Linked DNA regions of Astyanax mexicanus. The protein of the gene in region 2 interacts with the protein of the main gene of each other region in a pairwise test. Links are inferred from orthologs where the notes say so. Each region holds a gene or a part of one and is shown on either strand. Other genes may lie near its edges.

Region 1 (8,662 bases), on a different chromosome or scaffold from region 2:
AGGTGTGTCAGTCACAGAGGTGAACTGTGTAACTCGTTCATCATGGCCCCGTTTGTACTCCACCTAAGACACAGTAAGCAGAGGTGCATGAGTTTACTGGTCTCCCACGGACTGCAGACATCACATTGACTTCAGTATTCACACACAGCTTCGAGTGAGATCACTTACATCGCTGATGGTCTTCTGTGCTTGACTCATGCGAACTATCTCCTGACTGGTTACACTGCCTGAGTACCATGTCTGCTGCTCTGAAAACCCTGAAGACTGGTAAGCCTGGGGGACATTTCAGCGCATGGATGAGATCCTTCAATTCAGAAGTCCTGGATTTAACATTAGAAGAGCTGATCTGAAAAGAAGTGAACTGATATTTTACCTGGTTGGTCATTTGGCTGGCCTTGCGGGCCTGCTCAAGTTCCTTTGATCTCATGTCATAGTGGAACGTGGACATGAAACGCTCACCCTCTTCTCTGTATTTAATCTGAAAAGAACCACAGTGTTAACACTCAACACAGCTCAGGACACAAAACATTGAGTTGGCCTGCATTGGTACCATCTAAAACACGTATCTGTACTACATTTCTACTTGTTTTAAGCAGAGCAACTGTTCTTTACATTGTGTAAACCTTCTGTGAGATGTGGACCACCGGGAATGTTTGAAAGTACTTGGAATAAAATCTATTTTCATTAAACTAAAAGATAATTTAATAACATTTTAGCCTACTCTTGTAAAGTTACCATTTTGGTGCTACATTTTCTTTGATAATCATGATAATTATGTTATCAAATGTATGATTTATCAAAAAATAGATGGACCTGACCGCCATCATTCTTGTTGACCTTGATCTTGCAAATTGTGTTTTTTTTTAGCAAAGACAGCCAAAAAAACTGTTTTACTTTAGTTACTTTTTATTTGTTAAGGATATTTTTAAATGTTTATATTTCAATTCCAATCTCGGATTGCTTGTTTTTAATAATTAAAAATAATTATATTATCATTAGCCTATACAAGTGGTGTATAATCTTAAAATGACAATAATTTAGTTTATTGCAACAATTTATTGTGCAAACAAAAATGCCTAGATAGTAAGTCTAAACAAAACCTATTTCTGATGAGAAACATGGCCTTTGTTTATATCATGATAGCTGAACATCACCTGGGTAAATAAACAGTGTTTGGGTCATTCTGATCCTTAGGACATGAGGAGTATACAGAATATTAAGACATACATAATATATAGTTTAAATGGCTTTTATGTGAGTTTATAGTTATTTTTTCACTACATACAACTACATACTGTAATTACATACTGTTGCCACGACTACTGAATTATTCATAGCACATACTAAAGTAAAAGTTCATTTTCATTTCTGAACCTTAATTTTTAAAGGCTCAACATAATCCTAATGTGGCAGTGATTAAAACTTGCCAACCTCTATTATTACATATCCCTAAAGCACCAATCTGGCTTGACTGGGGAAGTAAATTCTAGTTATCATATAAAGATAGATATACAAAGTAATGCCGACTTAGAGCATGTGGCCAGTGCTATCTTTTCAAGTTGGAAAATGATCTGTGTTCATACAAGTCTTTCCAGGAAGTGGGGGAAAGATGTGCACGATGGAGTTTTAATAGGCTACGTTCAGGAGCTCTGCAGAGCCCAGAGAGCATGTAGACTTTTAAGCACACTGACAGACAGGAGCAGGTGGCTCTCCCAACATGACAGAAAGAGGGAGAGAGAGGGAGATAGAGAGAGAGATATAGAAGAGTGAGCGAGGAAGCAAAAGCATAAATTTAACCACCAAGCGCATAAAGCAGAGCAAGAGGGGTGTCGTGTCTCTGTCACACTACAGAAATAGCTCAGAGACTCAAACCCCATTCCAAACATCTAGAGTCACAGAGGGCTACAGAGTTCTCCTAAAAACAGCTTTACAACCCTCTCATAAAGAAGAAGCTTACAGATAAATTACCTTAAATAAAAAAAGAATGTTTCAAACTTTCATTTATTATTATTTTTTGTGCATTCATTCTATTATATAGACAGTCTATAAAACACTACTTATACTCTTCTAATAATAATATTTATTGCTGCATCATATAGGATTAAGACCACCATAAAATATTATTACTGTCATATCAAACTTCATAACTGATTATCTTACATTCATTTTCTTTTGAACCTTTAAAAACACCAAACCTTGATATGGGTAAACATTTAGGCCAACAGAAATGGTCCAATATTACTTGAAATAAAATATACTAACACTAAAGTTCAGAGCAAGTTCCTTTTTTTAAGATCTGATTTTTTTTACAATAATAAAAACATATTCCATATACATTAAATAAATATATAAAAGACTTACTATCATCAACAGCTAGATTATTACATTTTATACTCTTTAATCTATTAATTATATATTCAGTTTAGAATACATCTCTGAATAAATCATGATGTAATGAAACGCACAATTACCTTTTTATTTCAATATGAACACCATATGTGTGTAAAAAAAGGACACAGTAAGAAGAAAAACACAGCCAGGAGCATCAGTGAAATAATCACAAGCTCACCTCACTGACAGCCTCTGCCTGCTTCTTAGCATTGATGTTGACCGGAGTTTCATAGACGCTGGTGAAGGTGTTGTTCCGTGGATTATGTCTGTGAAATACCCACAGATTCACAGATTATAAGCAAAGCTTATAGAAACTTAAGGGGTCAGTAGTTTAGAGGCAGTGTCTAGTAAAGAAAGCATGGTTGTACTGTTTACAGTGATGGGACAGACCCATCTTTGTAAAAACCGAGAAACAGCAAAACCAATGCTTCTATTTACCAGTACAGAGTTTTCCATAAAATGCAATGAATAGGCATCATGTACTCACACTTGACAATACGGTCTCTTCTGATGGCTTACAAAATTATTGGCAGTTAGAACCATCTTACAGACCTCACAGTGGAAGCATGCTTTGTGCCAGTTCTGTTTATGTGAGAGAATACAGACAGAGAAAGCATCACCACCAACAATGTAGCTATGTTTTAGAAGTAAGTTTTGATATTATAACTTAATATTTTACAGAGACATGGTTAAAAATTTAGTATGGCCATAATATATACTGTTTTTTTTTTACTCTTCTTAAGCAAACTAAATCTTTAGCTTGTCTAAACCAGCATCATCACATATAAAACACAAGCACAGCAGTCTAACTAACTACAATGTACTTACTTACTTACTTAATCTTAAATAAAAACGTTTTTATTTTAATCATGTCTTTGGATTACAATATATGCATACTCAATTGTTACATGCACTCAATCTTACCTGACTAATGAGATTGATCTTCTCAGCTGGGTACACCACAAACCCACACCTGGCACAGTTTTGAATATTCATGTTTAGTTTTTCCCCACTGGATCCGTCACTACAGAGAAAACCAACTCGGCATACCAATTCTCTAAAAAATCAGTAGCTTTGGACAGTCCACAGAACAGGAAGGCAAAGCGTCCCAGTTAGTCCCCTGTTCCCACTTGTGTCTCACTCTCTGACCTGTGTTAAACTTAGCTCTGGTCTTTCACAGGCCAGCTCTGTCTATTACATGACCTGGATGCAAGGTCCCACCCCTTATTAGCTGCTGTCAGTCAGCTGAAAGCCTGCCCAGCTGTCTGTTAGTTAAGAGGGGGTCGAGATGCTACTGGATGTATGTAACTGAATACTAAATTTATTGTTATCTTTTGGGCAGCTTAGTCACAGCGGCCTCCACATGCCCCAGATGTACACAAAAATAGAGGAATGACCTAGTGCTTGCTAGGTGTATGTGTAATAGCGGCATTACCTATATGCTTTCTTTGACCATGCTCTGTCATCGTTGCCGTTTTTAGTCCGTCCAAAAGCAAAGAGAAAGAAAAAGAGAAAGAAAAGAGAAATTTATACAATTAATTTACCACTCACAAGTAGGGATGCAAAATGATATTGGTATTTTATTTTAGTGAACAACCCTTGCCAATATTTAGAGATCACAAGTGGGCAATGGCCGATATATAAGCCGATATTTGGTTTTCTTCACAACACAACATAATTTTACCCATTTATTCACAATAATAAGGATACACATTAAGCCAATTCCGCTATTCAAATAGTTTAGTACTCTGAACTTAAATTCCAATGGCTCAAACAGTGAATGTTTGAAACACTTTTACATTTGGAAAGTGTGCGGTGTAAAAAATGTTGTAATTGTTGTAGTGTTATGTGCTTGCAAACCAGTGAATCAAACCCTATATTGCCACAGGGAGTGCTGCAAATATACGTACGTACATTAATTTGTGTATATTTAAATCTTAATTAAAACCTTAGAGATGAAAATACAGTGGATGAAACTGAGACTCTGCTGTGTCTGTCCGCTTTTATTTAACACACTATAATCTATGACCTTACAGAGTTAATGTAATATGACTCAATGAACTACAGTAATACTACATTGATTACTACATCATAAGGCTGGGTTTACGGCAGCTAAAGCACATTTGAATACGGATGAGTTTTTGAGATTAATAAGCTACATAACCTACAATATTAATTATTAATCATCAAGCAGGAGTGCCACAAATATGTTCTGGACTTCGAATTGGACATTCAATTTTTTTTATACTTACTTGTGTGCTTAGACCTTTACGGCATGAATTGTATTTTTTGGGGAAAACAATCACAGCACTATTTGGGAGACTTTTGAACTTTTTTTCAGACCATGTTTTTTTTTTTTATGATCCACTTGTATGGCTCATTGCATTGGTCATAGGTATGCCTTTTATTCATGTTATATATTTTTTTATGTAACATTTAATAAAATGTTATAAAATAATAAATACATAAAAAATTAAGTTGTGGTATGAAATAACTATGGCTGCAACAATTAGTCGATATAACTGTTGATTATTCAACTTTGTCGACTACAAATTTCCTTGTAGATTAATAGTTAATTTGTAACAGTACTGCATTACACAAAGTGCTGGGGACAGAAGTACAATAGGACATGGGTAAATGGCTCACTCACACAGTTTACACTCAACTTAGCCTGTGTCTCCAATAGTGCCTAAACTCAACAGATTACATATCAGGACTAAAATGGTCGCAAATGCGACCAAAAATATTTTTTTGCGATTTATAAAATTAATTAAGTCGCCAGTGGCGACAGGTGGCAAAGTAGGGTTTTTTGCGTTTATTTATTTATTTATTTATTTTTTGCTTTTTTTTGGTTGTGTTTATCGATGTAACTATACTACGGCGCCCAATCATATGGACGTTTTTGCCTACCTCAAAAAAAAAGCCTTGCTTTACCTCAGACGTAACTACCACAGCAGCGTAGCTAAGCTGAGCTTTTATCCATTGGCCCGCAGTTTGCACTGGAAAATGCAGACGAAGATGAACATCCAAGAAATATGGAAGCCCATTTCCGCCACCTGAAGAAAAAAAAACGTCCTCAACTAAGTCATAATTATGAGATAGAAAAGTCATAATTATGGGATAGTAAGTCATAATTATGAGATAGTAAGTCATAATTATGAGATAGTAAGTCATAATTATGAGATAATAAGTCATAATTATGAGATAAAAAAAGTCATAATTATGAGATAGAAAAGTCATAATTATGGGATAGTAAGTCATAATTATGAGATAGTAAGTCATAATTATGAGATAAAAAAGTCATAATTATGAGATAGTAAGTCATATTTATGAGATAAAAAAGTCATAATTATGAGATAGTAAGTCATAATTATGAGATAGAAAAGTCATAATTATGGGATAGTAAGTCATAATTATGAGATAGTAAGTCATAATTATGAGATAGTAAGTCATAATTATGAGATAAAAAGTCATAATTATGAGATAGTAAGTCATATTTATGAGATAAAAAGTCATCTCATAACTATGACTTTCTATCTCATAATTATGACTTTCTATCTCATAATTATGACTTTTTTATTTCATAATTATGACTTACTATCTCATAATTATGACTTACTATCTCATAATTATGACTTTTTATCTCATAAATATGACTTACTATCCCATAATTATTACTTTTCTATCTCATAATTATGACTTAGTTGAGGACGTTTTTTTTTCTTCAGGTGGCGGAAATGGGCTTCCATAAAGAAAAGTACAACCACAGACATTTCAAAACTTCTTGGCCGCAATGTACTGCGAATTCAGTTCGAAAGTAAGCAAAGATATCGCTGGAAACACGTATTTTGTACCAGGAACGCATCGTTTAAAAAAAAAAGAAAAAACACGGAGAGAGTCGAAAGCATAAAAATGCACGCGACTGTTTTTTAGTGTGCTCCGACAAAACCTCCCTTAGCTCGCACATGTGATAAAACTGAAAAATTAAATTTAATAGAGCCTACATGCACGTGAGAAACTACCCCGTCTTGTTAATAAGAAAAAAATGGCCTGTATGTGTCGAAAACGTATGATAATGACTCAGCTTGTGCCGAGTTTGTAGGATGTAACGTTATAGCAGACAACGTCAAAGCTCGTCAAAGATCGTGACAGAAGCCCAGAAAGTTAAGTATATCACTGACTGTGGGACTGATGTGCCCGGCAGTTTTACGTAATCGCTTATTGAAGACACGTTTCTGGTGGTCTACCGGTGTACCGGTGTTTTGTCAAGTTATGCTACCCATCAATACGTGCTTCCTAAAGGCACTGCGCAAGTGCAAACCTACACGTTTTGATAATGTCTCGTGTTTTTTATGACAAATCTATTTTTTGTGCATAAAACAACCTGGACTCACATTGCACAAGAGTGTAAATACAAATTAATAATAATAATAATAAATACAATAATTTATTAATTATAATTTAAATACAAAAAAGCAGTTTGTAATGAACTCTCATTGCCTTAAATTTACCATGATACAGTGATTTATGTTATAAAAATATACTAACACTACATCTACTGGGGACTTCTACTGCAAACATGCTCTAACATTGAGCTTCTTTTGAGTTTTTATCGTTAAATATACACTCGACAGAACAAGGGCCACTCTTTAGAAGTGAGATAGGAAAACATATTCTCTCATTTCATGTTTGCCTCAAAGACTGGAACTGGCAATCCTGAACACTCAAAAATCCCTTCCAATTAGCCCCAAAAGCAAGCCTAAGCTGAAAGCAATTGGTGTGGAGTTGGAGTGTACCATAAGCACACCTTCTGCAGTAAAGACTCAGCATTATTGTTTGGCACTTGGAAAAAAATATTGGCGCCCAAATTATTTATTTTAGGAGTCACTGGCTCCTTAATTTTTTTTTTGTCTGGAGCCCTGCATATTTATTCATGAATTATCACCACGTTTTAAACAATATATAGACATTTAAAGCCACTTTAAGCCTCATGTTCAGTTATTTCTATCGTTTTTAGAGACATCACAAAATAATCGCTGACTAATCGACTAATCGAAAAAAACACAATCACAATCATTGCAGCACTAGTAAAAAACAAAAGTTTGGTTTGTTGGATGATGATAGCATCATACCAAAGAGGGTTAAGGCTGTCGGTTTGCTGTATTACTTAGGGGTTATGGTTAAGCTTTGGTTTATTGACACATACCTTGAGATTATCCTGTAAAACGCTGTTACTGACTAGAATTTATAAAGCCTACAAATGAGGAAATTCGTCTTGGACCTGGGGCAGCCCATTATCTGAAGACGGTGCCTGTCTCTTTAAATGATAAGCTGGTATGCCTACTGTACACAGGGCAGTTTACTCACAGGAAAGTTTCTTTTTCACTTCTCTCTGTTTCTTTTTCCTTTCGCGGAGCTGTGCGACCGTTTGGACTGGAGCTGCTCAGAACTGCCGTATAACTACATAATTTAACTAGGTAGCCAACTTTACGTGATTTTAGTGAGTATTATTCCTTCTGAGGAGGGTTTGTGTTAGTCTGGGTGTCTGTAGGCGGTGACTGCAGCTGCTGCTGCTGAGTTGTAGTGGGCAGGAAAAGATGAGTTAGCTATGTTAGCTTAAGTTTAGCTTAGCACAGGTTATACTTTCTACATTTCCTTTTAGAAAGCGCTAATATGTTTTTAAAAGCTACTATACAGCACCTAACATCATCCCCTGTTCAGTATATGTCCAATTTGCTATCTTAAATCGATCCGTTTACGAGTTAAATAGCTAACGTTATATATATTCAGCTGTCTCCTTGTGTTCATATTTACCAGTATAACGTACTGAATTGGCGAGTTTTTATAGTTGCAGGAAATGGTTAACCGCCAACAGTAGCTAGGTGGCTAACTAACTAGTTAGTAGGCTAACTACACCTCTGGAAAAAAAGAGACCACTTAAAATGATGAGTTTCTTCAATTTTACTGAAACTGAAAAACTCTGGAATATAATCAATAGGAAGATAGATGATCTCAAGCAATCAAACCAAGCTGAACTGCTTGAATTTTTGCACCAGGAGGGGCTTTTTGGAGTTGTCCAAAAGCAGTGTGTAAGACTGGTGGAGGAGAACATGCCAAGATACTTTAAAACTGTGATTAAAAACCAGGGTTATTCCAACTAATATTGATTTCTGAACTCTTTATGAATATGAACTTGTTTTCTTTGCATTATGAGTCTGCATATTTTTTGTTATTTCAGCCCTTTTTTATTTTCTGCAAATAAAATGCTCTA
Region 2 (9,521 bases):
CTCCGATTACAATGATCTTCCCGTTGTGAACAACAGCTCCAAACATCGCTCTGGCCGTCTTCATACTGGCCATCTCCCTCCACTCAGACTGCTTGTGGTTATACACAAACATCTTGTTTAAAGCTTTACTGAGAGACAGAAAGAGAGATTTTACAGTTCAATAGAATTCATAACATTAACATCTCGATTAAACATATACAATTGTATGCAGTAATGTGAATACCCTTTGTTGAGTGGTTTATTTTATGAATTTTCTAAATAACAATAAAAACTCAAATTTAAGGTTTTACTGTATATAATACAGTATCATTACTATTTAACATAGTGATGGTCACTCAAAAGCTTTCTATTTAAGGTGGCAACAGAAGAAGGAAAGAACTTGACTTTCAATAGAAGCTCATGTAAAAAGATTTGTTTTTCATAAAATTCATAAAGTAGAAACCTAGTTATATCAATATTACTAAGAGGCCATCTTTTTGTATGAGTTTTTTTCACAATGATCTTTCACAAAGAAAGCTCATGAGACAATTTGAGCATTCAAGAAATTTCACATGATTATATTTGATTAAGCAAAAAAATGAACATTTTATTGCAACATTTCTTTTTTTTTTAGAAAAAAAATATAGAAGTGTGTAACCAATAGCATTGACAAATAAACAAAACATGAATTATTTTCCATAGGGCCTCAAACAACTAAGCCAACTGTTTTTTTCTGTTTTTAATTATTACCAATATTATTACCACAGCAATAGTAATATATTTACTACTGAAAATACCTATAGAGAACTAACAAGGACCGTCTATACCAGTGGTTCCCAATCCTAGTCCTGGAGGAGTTTTATTGGTTTCCTGCTGGACACACCACCTTAATCTCAGAATTCAAGGTGTATGGAAGCAGGTTAAACACAAACATATGGGGGCGAGGGGTCCTTTGGGACCAGGGTTAGAAACTACTGGTCTATAACATGGTAGTAAGACTTAGGTTACCAACCCTCCAAAGAACACACAAACACATACACACACTTACTTATCATCTGTCTTGCCTCCAATGCAATAAATCAGGCCATTATGTGAGACTACTGAATGGCCGTGGATGCGGAGTGGAAGTTTCTTTGTCTCGCTCCATTTCATCTTCCTGTAAAAATGACATATGATAAAATTTCCATTAAGCAGAAGTAGACAAAAGAATGATGAAAAAGAATATAAATGGGAAAAACACTAAAATAAACCACAGCTTATTCACAGCTGAATTAATATAGTTTTAATTAATAACTAGTTTTGGCAACATTATTAAACAAACTACAACATGACTACATGTCAATGTGTTTAGTACTCTGCATTCCATTTGCTTGTCCAAATGCTTGTGGACACCCCTATTATGAATGCATTCGGCTACTTTTAAAGTTGCAAATTCACAACACAAGTAGAATAGGCTCATTTTTATCCCCATTGATTTCAGAAGAGCAGATATCTAAATACTTTGGGATAGTATACATTTCTAACTGAAAGACACAATAAGAGAATGATAGGAGAATGACAGATTGACGTTACTCACTCAGTATCGTAACACATTACAGAATCCAGGGACTCGTTGGTCTGCAGGTCTTTACCAGCGATAGCGAACAGCAGACCATTATATTCACCCAAACCAAAGAGGCATCTTGGGCTTGGCATGGGTGGCAGTGCTACCCAATCAGATGTAAGACTGTCCAACTGAAATAAAATCACAACTGATTAGTCAGTGTTTTAATATCAATAATACAGTTAAAACATTTTTTTAGAATTGTTCTGTTGAATAACAGAATTTATGAATTAGACAAAATTGGTCATGATAGTTTTGCGGTCTCACAGATGATAATTTTTATAAGCCAAACTGACTTTTAGATTTCTGTTCTTCATGCAGTTGGTTGACTCACTTTGCAAACTGAGTATGTTATTATTTACTTAACCTGACGTCCTGATCAAATCCAAGTATTTTTGTGCTGATTGTCAGCCAATACCAATCTGATCTTTGTGTTTCTTTAGATAACACAGCGCCGCATCTTAGGAAACTGCTATGAAGTAACGCTAGTGATTTCACTTTATTTTCAGTGCCAGTTATCTATAGTTATCCAAATGGTTGCAAAAATACACATAGAATAGTTGCACATAGAAAGAAGTGCCAAATTGCAATGCTTTTTTTTACTGATTTCGGAAACACTTTGTCATATATATTGAGCTACACATATATAAGTAGTGTATGCATGTGTATCACAAGATGGCAGACATCTGGGTTTGGAGTTGTAGAGGTTCCTAATGGTGTTCTGTGGTAATCCATCCAATAGAGCTTTGAATATTTGGTATCCCACCTCTTTTCATTCAGAGCTATGTCTGGCAATGTGGCATACTCTTGAGTCTGCAGCAGTTGGACGAGCATTGTCTTAATGGATTAGTGCGCCAAAGTCATAGGGCCATAAGTTGCACCCCACACCATGACACCAGACCTTCTGGACCTGGGAAATATTTGACTATTTAACTCCCTGATCCTTTAAAACACTGTATTCTCTACACATACAGCAATTTGCACAAAAGTAAACAAATGAAATGTTTTTACACTGTACAAAATCCAACTCAACAGAGGTTTTTGAATGATCAACAATACATTTTGAGATAAATCAGCAAGAAAACATCTATGGGGAAATGTGGTACTATTTGTGTCGTTGTACAAGGTAATTTTTGCATAGAAATGCAAGGAAATTTCCACAATTGTCACTCTTTTGTCTGTGAGTTAAAATATTATGACCTACCTGGTAGAAGTAGCACTGGAGTGGTGCTTCTTTGTTGTCTTCGTCAACGAACAGACCACCAATGACAAACAGCTCGTTCCTCTTGGAGCAGTGGCTGATGTGGTTCTTGGGCACTTGTTCGGCCATGGCCGCCAGGAAGCATTCGTTTTCTACCACGTCATACGCCACCGCCGCTGTGTCATTAATCATGAGGATTAAATTACGCCCATACATCCCTAGCCTGCGGTTGTCGTTCAGGAAACCTGGCAACATCTCTTCTTCTTCCTCCTCTCCTCCTTCTTCTCCATTCACCTCTCCTTCCTTCTTCTCCTTCTTTTTCATCTCGGGAAGTTTCCCTTTGAAGGCATCTTTGATGACCTGCAGTTTCTTCAGGAGTTCTGGATCGGCCTTAATGATGTCATCGTTTTCTACTTTCTCTTGGAAGTACTTTTCCGGTAAGAGGCGGAAGCGGATGAATTCGAAGGCTTCACCCAGAGACTTGACACGCTTCTCCTTGTCGCTTCGCACCCACTTCATTAGCGACTCGAACACCACTTCCTCCTTCTCCACGTTCAGCATGTCTCCACCAATGAGGGCAAAGAGTTCATGAGGCGCCAGCTGCAGGAATTCCTCTTCGTCCATCAGGCTTTCGAAGCGATCCGCAATAAAATCGCGGGCAGATACGGCTAGCCTGGGCACGTTGAGGATCAGGCCGAGCCTGAAGATGGCCAGGCAGTTGACCATGGACAACTTCTTCTGCAGATAGTTCACACAAACCGTGAACACAGAGGGAATCTGGAAGCGGTTAGCGACTGCGAATATCTCCTGAACATTGTCATCGGTCAGCTCGATTTCAGCAGAGTAGAGGTATTTAATGATCATGTCCAGAACATTGGGGTCAACGTCATCCACGGCGACCTCTTTGAGGTCTTCTTTGATCTTTCCATCTTCAGAGAAGAAGATCTCTCTGAAGTAGGGGCTGCATGCGGCCAGAATGAGGCGATGGCATGGAAAGCAGCGGTCACCCACTTTCAGAGTGCAGTCCACAAACTTGTTCTCGTTCAGCAGCTCCTTCAGGCCGTCCTGCAGCAGCGTGCTTTGGAACAGCCGCAGTTCTTCCTTCAGTGCTTTGGGATCCATGGCAGTGGATAGGAGGGTAAGTGGTGGAGGACAAAGAAGAAAGGAGGAAGAAAGAGAGGAGAGAGGGTGGCTTCTGCTTGCCACACAGTCCTGGCTGGAAAAGGACAGACCACCAAAAAGATCTGCAGCTTGAAAAAGCTGTTATTTAATCTGGGCTTTCTAAATTTAACCTGGGCTGGACCCTCCTCCCCTCTGCAGCTCCCCCTGTTCCCCCTGTCCGTCTGTGAGTAGGGGGAGTGCAATGACAGCAGTTGTCACAGTAAAACAGGCTGCAGAGGCCTAACCAGGATTTAACCCTTAAGTTTAAAACTGTGTTTCACTGTTTTTGTGTAATATTTTAATATTAACACATAATGAAATACATTAAATTACAAATTCTACTAAATAATTTATTAATCAGGAGTCTTTTAATTATAACAATATTTTAACCTTTTTAAGTTCCGCAAGGCACTACCTAATACAGGTATTATAAATTTTCCGTTAAACATTTTCCATTTTATTTTGGCAAAGAACTGTTAACTTTAATTTGGCGATATAAATTGAGTGAGCTGTTCCAGCAGCAGAAAAAAACTAGAGGTTCTGAGAAGTTAAATTTGCTGTAAATATTGTATTTTTATGTGCTCTAACAATTTACATAATCAATAACACACACGTTCAGTATACATTCCTAATTTTTTCCCCATTAATTTGAATGGCACAAACATGGCAAACAGCAGCATGGATGGACTATGTTAAGTAAAAGAGAATAAAAACAGAATATAAACAGAAATAACAGAATAAATAAATAAAAAATCAATAGAAAAATAGAGGATCAAAAAATATTCATCTTGGTAATCTAACTTTGCCTCCAATTTCTTCTTCATTTATGCTTTAATGAGCTGAATCATACTTATCACAATTACAATGATATGACACTGAATGTGTCTATAATCTATAAAATTTTATCTAAATCTATAAAACCTATTTGTACTTCTGTAAAAGTTCACATGATAACATTTCTGAAGTTGCATTGTAAAGATGTATAATGTTTTGTTCGGTGGTATGTATTTTACTTGTACATTTGTGTGTGTGTGTGTGTTTGTGTGAATGGTAGCACATCTAAGATCAGAGTGACAGTGATGGGAAGCAGCTGCTACAACAGGTGACAGCACCCAACCCCACCCTCCCCACCCCCTCCACACACACACACACATGCACACACTCTTGATCAAGCGTTTTAGAGTCACTGGAACCTCATTATTGTTCTTTGCTTCTATGCTTCATGTTACATATCTATAGGAACTGTAATTATGGCACAAATATATTCAAAGTTTACAGGACACTCAAATATTTAAAATATTTCTTTCCAAATCATAAACTTTGATTGATATAGACTATAATAATCACAAATCTGGTTTAGAAGCCGGATTCCAGTCTTATTTTGAATCTGATCTTATGATTTCATGGAAAACAGTTTAGAGTGAGAGGGTCGTGTGTTGTGTTGGAGATAGTACTATAATTAAAACAGGCCTGTGTGTGTGTGTGTGTGTGTGTGTGTGTGTGGTAGTTATATGTAACTTAAGTCAAAAGCGCGAAAGACAGAGGGGGGTACTCTGTCTCACACACACAACCCACCTCACCCCCCCAATCACAGAGAGAATGATGCCAATAGGGGAGTGTAAGAGTAAGTGAGTGAGCGTCGTCTGTTAGCCAGCACACAGCAGATGACGCAGTAAAAAACTGACCATGTGAATCAGTGAGCTTGGCTTAGTAAGCTGTTGTTGACCAAAATGAATAGTTACAACAGCTGAACAAAGCTTTTGGGTTATTTTTTTCCTACTCTAATGCTGGTTTGAGCCTGTTGGTTTATTTTGCTCTGTTATTTCCAGCATGCTGGATACAATGTCAAATGCATATGTGTTTTAGGCCTGCAAAACATAAAAAAAAATTGTAACAGAGAATCATATACCACTTGTTTAACAGTATGAGTTTGTGTTATTTTTACTAATTTATCTGCTCATTATTGACCAAATCGTGATTACAATCACCTTTTGATATGCATTTTTATGAATTGATAAAAATTAAATCCAAACCACATGCAAGAAACACTGCATTTATTTTGTTTATTTGCATTTTACCTACTGTCCCAACTTTATCCAATTTTTGATTATGCCCAGCACTATGTAAATGACCAGGCAAAATAACCCAACTGGCTCAACTAACCGTTATAGTGGGGGAAAAAAAATCATACTGTCCAAACGTTTTGATTTAGAGTTGCTATTAAATGTTCTTGTCCTACGCTACCCCAAGATACATTCTTTTAAAATAAAGAGTGATGGCATAGAATAACCATTTTCAGTCATATAAAAAAACTATTTTGGTGCTTAAACTCTAATTAACCCGATAAACCTAACATAAAACAGCAGCATGTGCCTAATTATGGGCAGGCATGCGGTATTCTGCATATTCAGTTAAACTGCCATCAGACAAATTATTTTACATTGTGCTGAGAATGTTCAAAAAGGTAAAACATAATTTTTCAGTAACATTTTTTATTTTATAAAAAAGTATGCTATATTAAACTTGGATTACAACACACAAAATGATACAAAACCTATAAAGAAATATCAAAGGATGTCCTAACATCAAAAACATAAAATTGCAGTATTGACAGTGTTCATTATACAATAGCAACTGTTCACAACAAATCAGGTAATGGCCTTAAATACATAATGCACCCGTCAAACAATCAGTGTTCAGTTTATATCCTGATGTACATTTAGAGACTGTAGCAAACCTATCTGTTGATGGATTGCACTAGTCCTTTAGCCCTTCGTCAGTGGCCTGGTTCTAAACACAGAGGCACTGTAGGGTTGGATCAGTACAAAAGTTAAGTCTAATATTGCATACAGCAGTATCTCCAAATGAGGACATAATATGGAAATATGATGTTTCTGATGTGTAAAACTAATTTAACTGCATTAAAGAGTCAGAGGGTTGGTGCGGGGAGGGCTCAAGCTCTGAAAATAAGCAGATTGGGGGGATATCCAACCATATACAGTGGAAAGTAAAATATGTATGTGAATCCTTTGCAGTTTCATGTGTTTATGCATACATTTTTCATAAAATGTGGACTGATCATTCAAGTTAAGGATATTGACAGATATAATGTGCTAAAATAAAATAATATATATATATATATATATATATATATATATATATATATATATATATATATATATATATATATATATATATATATGATGTTGCAGGTCTTTGATGACTCATTCAACACTAAAAGTGGTGGTGGAAAAATTGCAGGAATAACCTCAACCAGGCACTTTCTGTAGCTGTGGATCAGATCTGCACTTCGTTAAATTTTTGCCCATTATTCCTGCAGAACTGCTTTAGCTCTCTCATATCCCTTGGATGCTTTAGAAGTACATCTCTCTTCAAGTCAATCCATAGCATCTGAGATCTGGGCGGATTGAATATGTGAGGATGAACCCTTCACTTGACTCTGTGCTCTTAAATTAGGCTTTTGCTGCTTTCTATTAGGACACAATTATAAAGACAATGAAGGACACCATTGTCCCCATAAATTAAACAATTCCCAAATAAGAAGCAGGTTTTTAATAACTCTTCTGACATTCACTGTCTCACTGTTTCAAGTGGGTTGTGGAATACATCACTAAAAAAGGACTAGAAATGAATAGGAACAGGAAAACAAATACAACTGGAGCTAAAATATACTTGAATTGAAATTGGCTAATAAAGAAAATTAAGTATTTACACAGCAAGTCACTGATGCAGTACAATGAAATACTCAACATACAGTATTTCAGCAATTATGTGCACATTTCTCAGTGAGCTCGATCGTTGAGGTATTACAGATACTAATCCAACAACAGTCAATCTTCTATCACAAAGATCTTCTGTGTTCATCATCCTCCTGTGAGAACAAACCAGGGAGAATTATACAGTATATTTGTAGATGCTGATGATAACCAGTTACATCAAGTAAGTAAGATTGGTGCAGTTTTCGTTAAACAAAAATCCGATTAAAAAAATTAAATATGGAGAGCCTGGATGGGAATTAAAAAAGGACAGTAAAACAATGTCTGTTCACTTTTTTTTTTGCAAATGTTTCTATAAAACTGGATAACAAAAATAAATAGATTACAAATAAGATAAAGAGAGCTGAAATTCTGTTCAGTAATTGTGTTTTTTCACTTCATGTACACTCTGAACCAGAGTGAATATTATAATCAGTATTTGCACATGTAAAAGAAAAGAGCATGGTACCACAAATAGAGTGACACTGAAATGATGTTCATATTAAAGCTTGATGTGATAAAATTTCAGTGTGAATTTTGAGTTTTTACATGATTTTTATGTTGTGTCTTATTCTGTGAAGTTATTGGCTGGTTACAAAGCAAAAATCCAATCATTGACCAAATTTAGGTAAACCCAATGATTGGATTACTCAGTAATTTGATTATGATGTGCGTGCATGCTGACATTTATTCAACTATATGGTGTACTTTTTTAAGATTAAGGGTAAAATTGTGACTGTATGTTTAAATGCGAGTAATTACCTGCTTGTGAGACCACACAGGTCTTTTTACACTCTTCCTCTGTATCAAAGCGGTTCCGGTTTCCATCACAGCCTCCGTACCAGAACTGGGCGCAGGCGTTGGCCTGCTTGTCGTAATACCAGCGGATATTATATTCACGGCATGGACCCTGGTCTAGGGTCAGCTCACAGCGAGGGTCCAGGGGTACGATTTCTGACCAGAGAGGAGACACAATATGATATGTTATTACTGGTGTTGTAGTACTTAGAGTCTGGTCTTGGCTTGAAGACCAGTCTAAAGACTGTCATCTCTGTCTCATTTCGGTCTCAGGGTGAGATGGACTCAAAAATTGTTGTAGAGACCAGCCAAGTCCAATGCCTTTGTCTGTTACATAAATATCATGTGCTATAAATGACATAGTGTCACACTAGTTCTTACTTCTTTATGTGTAGCATGCTGAGATATTGCATTTAATGACAACATGGGACATCAGGAAAAAAAAGTACTGCATAATGATATATACATTTTAATTTTAAATATGTAATTTTTTTTATATATGAACATTTTGCTACATTATTTAATTTGAATATTTCAGAATATTTCAGGTTCTCCAGAAAGCTTGCATGTTCTGTGTTAAATGTTGCTCTTACAGCTTTAATAGTAAACTTTAATACTTTAATATGACTTGTAAATCTGACTTTACAAATGGGGAGTAGTAGGATCTAGAGTGATGTGTTTTAGGTTAGAAAAAATATTCTTATAAAAAGTTAGTGCTTGATAATCTTAATACTGGCCCTTAATAATTAAAATAAATTATAAATCATAATAACTCAACTGACTCAGGTGTCAGAACCTTCCTACTGACAACATAATCAAAACTGAAGCACGTAAGGGAGTAAAGTGTGTTAAAATATGTCTGTATATGTTGGTACTTACCTTTTGGTAGAGGTGGTCGAGGGGCAGGGATGTACTGCACTGAACCAGAGGATGTTATCACAGTTGATGATGATGATGATGATGAAGATGATGATGAGGATGATGATGATGTGGATCCTGCTGA

What was found.
Region 1: the proteins of klhl41b (region 2) and nebulin-related-anchoring protein interact in binary tests that used the Homo sapiens proteins (3 or more experiments, as listed by UniProt). The link is inferred for Astyanax mexicanus from reciprocal best matches to the Homo sapiens genes KLHL41 and NRAP.

Annotation. Positions count from the first base shown.
Region 1 is NC_064422.1:32,368,238-32,376,899, forward strand, and holds the start of nebulin-related-anchoring protein, read right to left. Parts: upstream 3,564-8,662; 5' UTR 3,388-3,563; coding exon 3,316-3,387; intron 2,974-3,315; coding exon 2,879-2,973; intron 2,658-2,878; coding exon 2,570-2,657; intron 479-2,569; coding exon 374-478; intron 274-373; coding exon 169-273; intron 64-168; coding exon 1-63. UniProt on the Homo sapiens protein: May be involved in anchoring the terminal actin filaments in the myofibril to the membrane and in transmitting tension from the myofibrils to the extracellular matrix.
Region 2 is NC_064412.1:53,826,653-53,836,173, forward strand, and holds the start of klhl41b (kelch-like protein 41b), read right to left. Parts: upstream 4,033-9,521; 5' UTR 3,906-4,032; coding exon 2,787-3,905; intron 1,714-2,786; coding exon 1,556-1,713; intron 1,136-1,555; coding exon 1,028-1,135; intron 129-1,027; coding exon 1-128. Other genes in the region: col28a2b (collagen alpha-1(XXVIII) chain), read right to left, coding at 7,829-7,836, 8,483-8,674, 9,398-9,521. UniProt on the Homo sapiens protein: Involved in skeletal muscle development and differentiation. Regulates proliferation and differentiation of myoblasts and plays a role in myofibril assembly by promoting lateral fusion of adjacent thin fibrils into mature, wide myofibrils.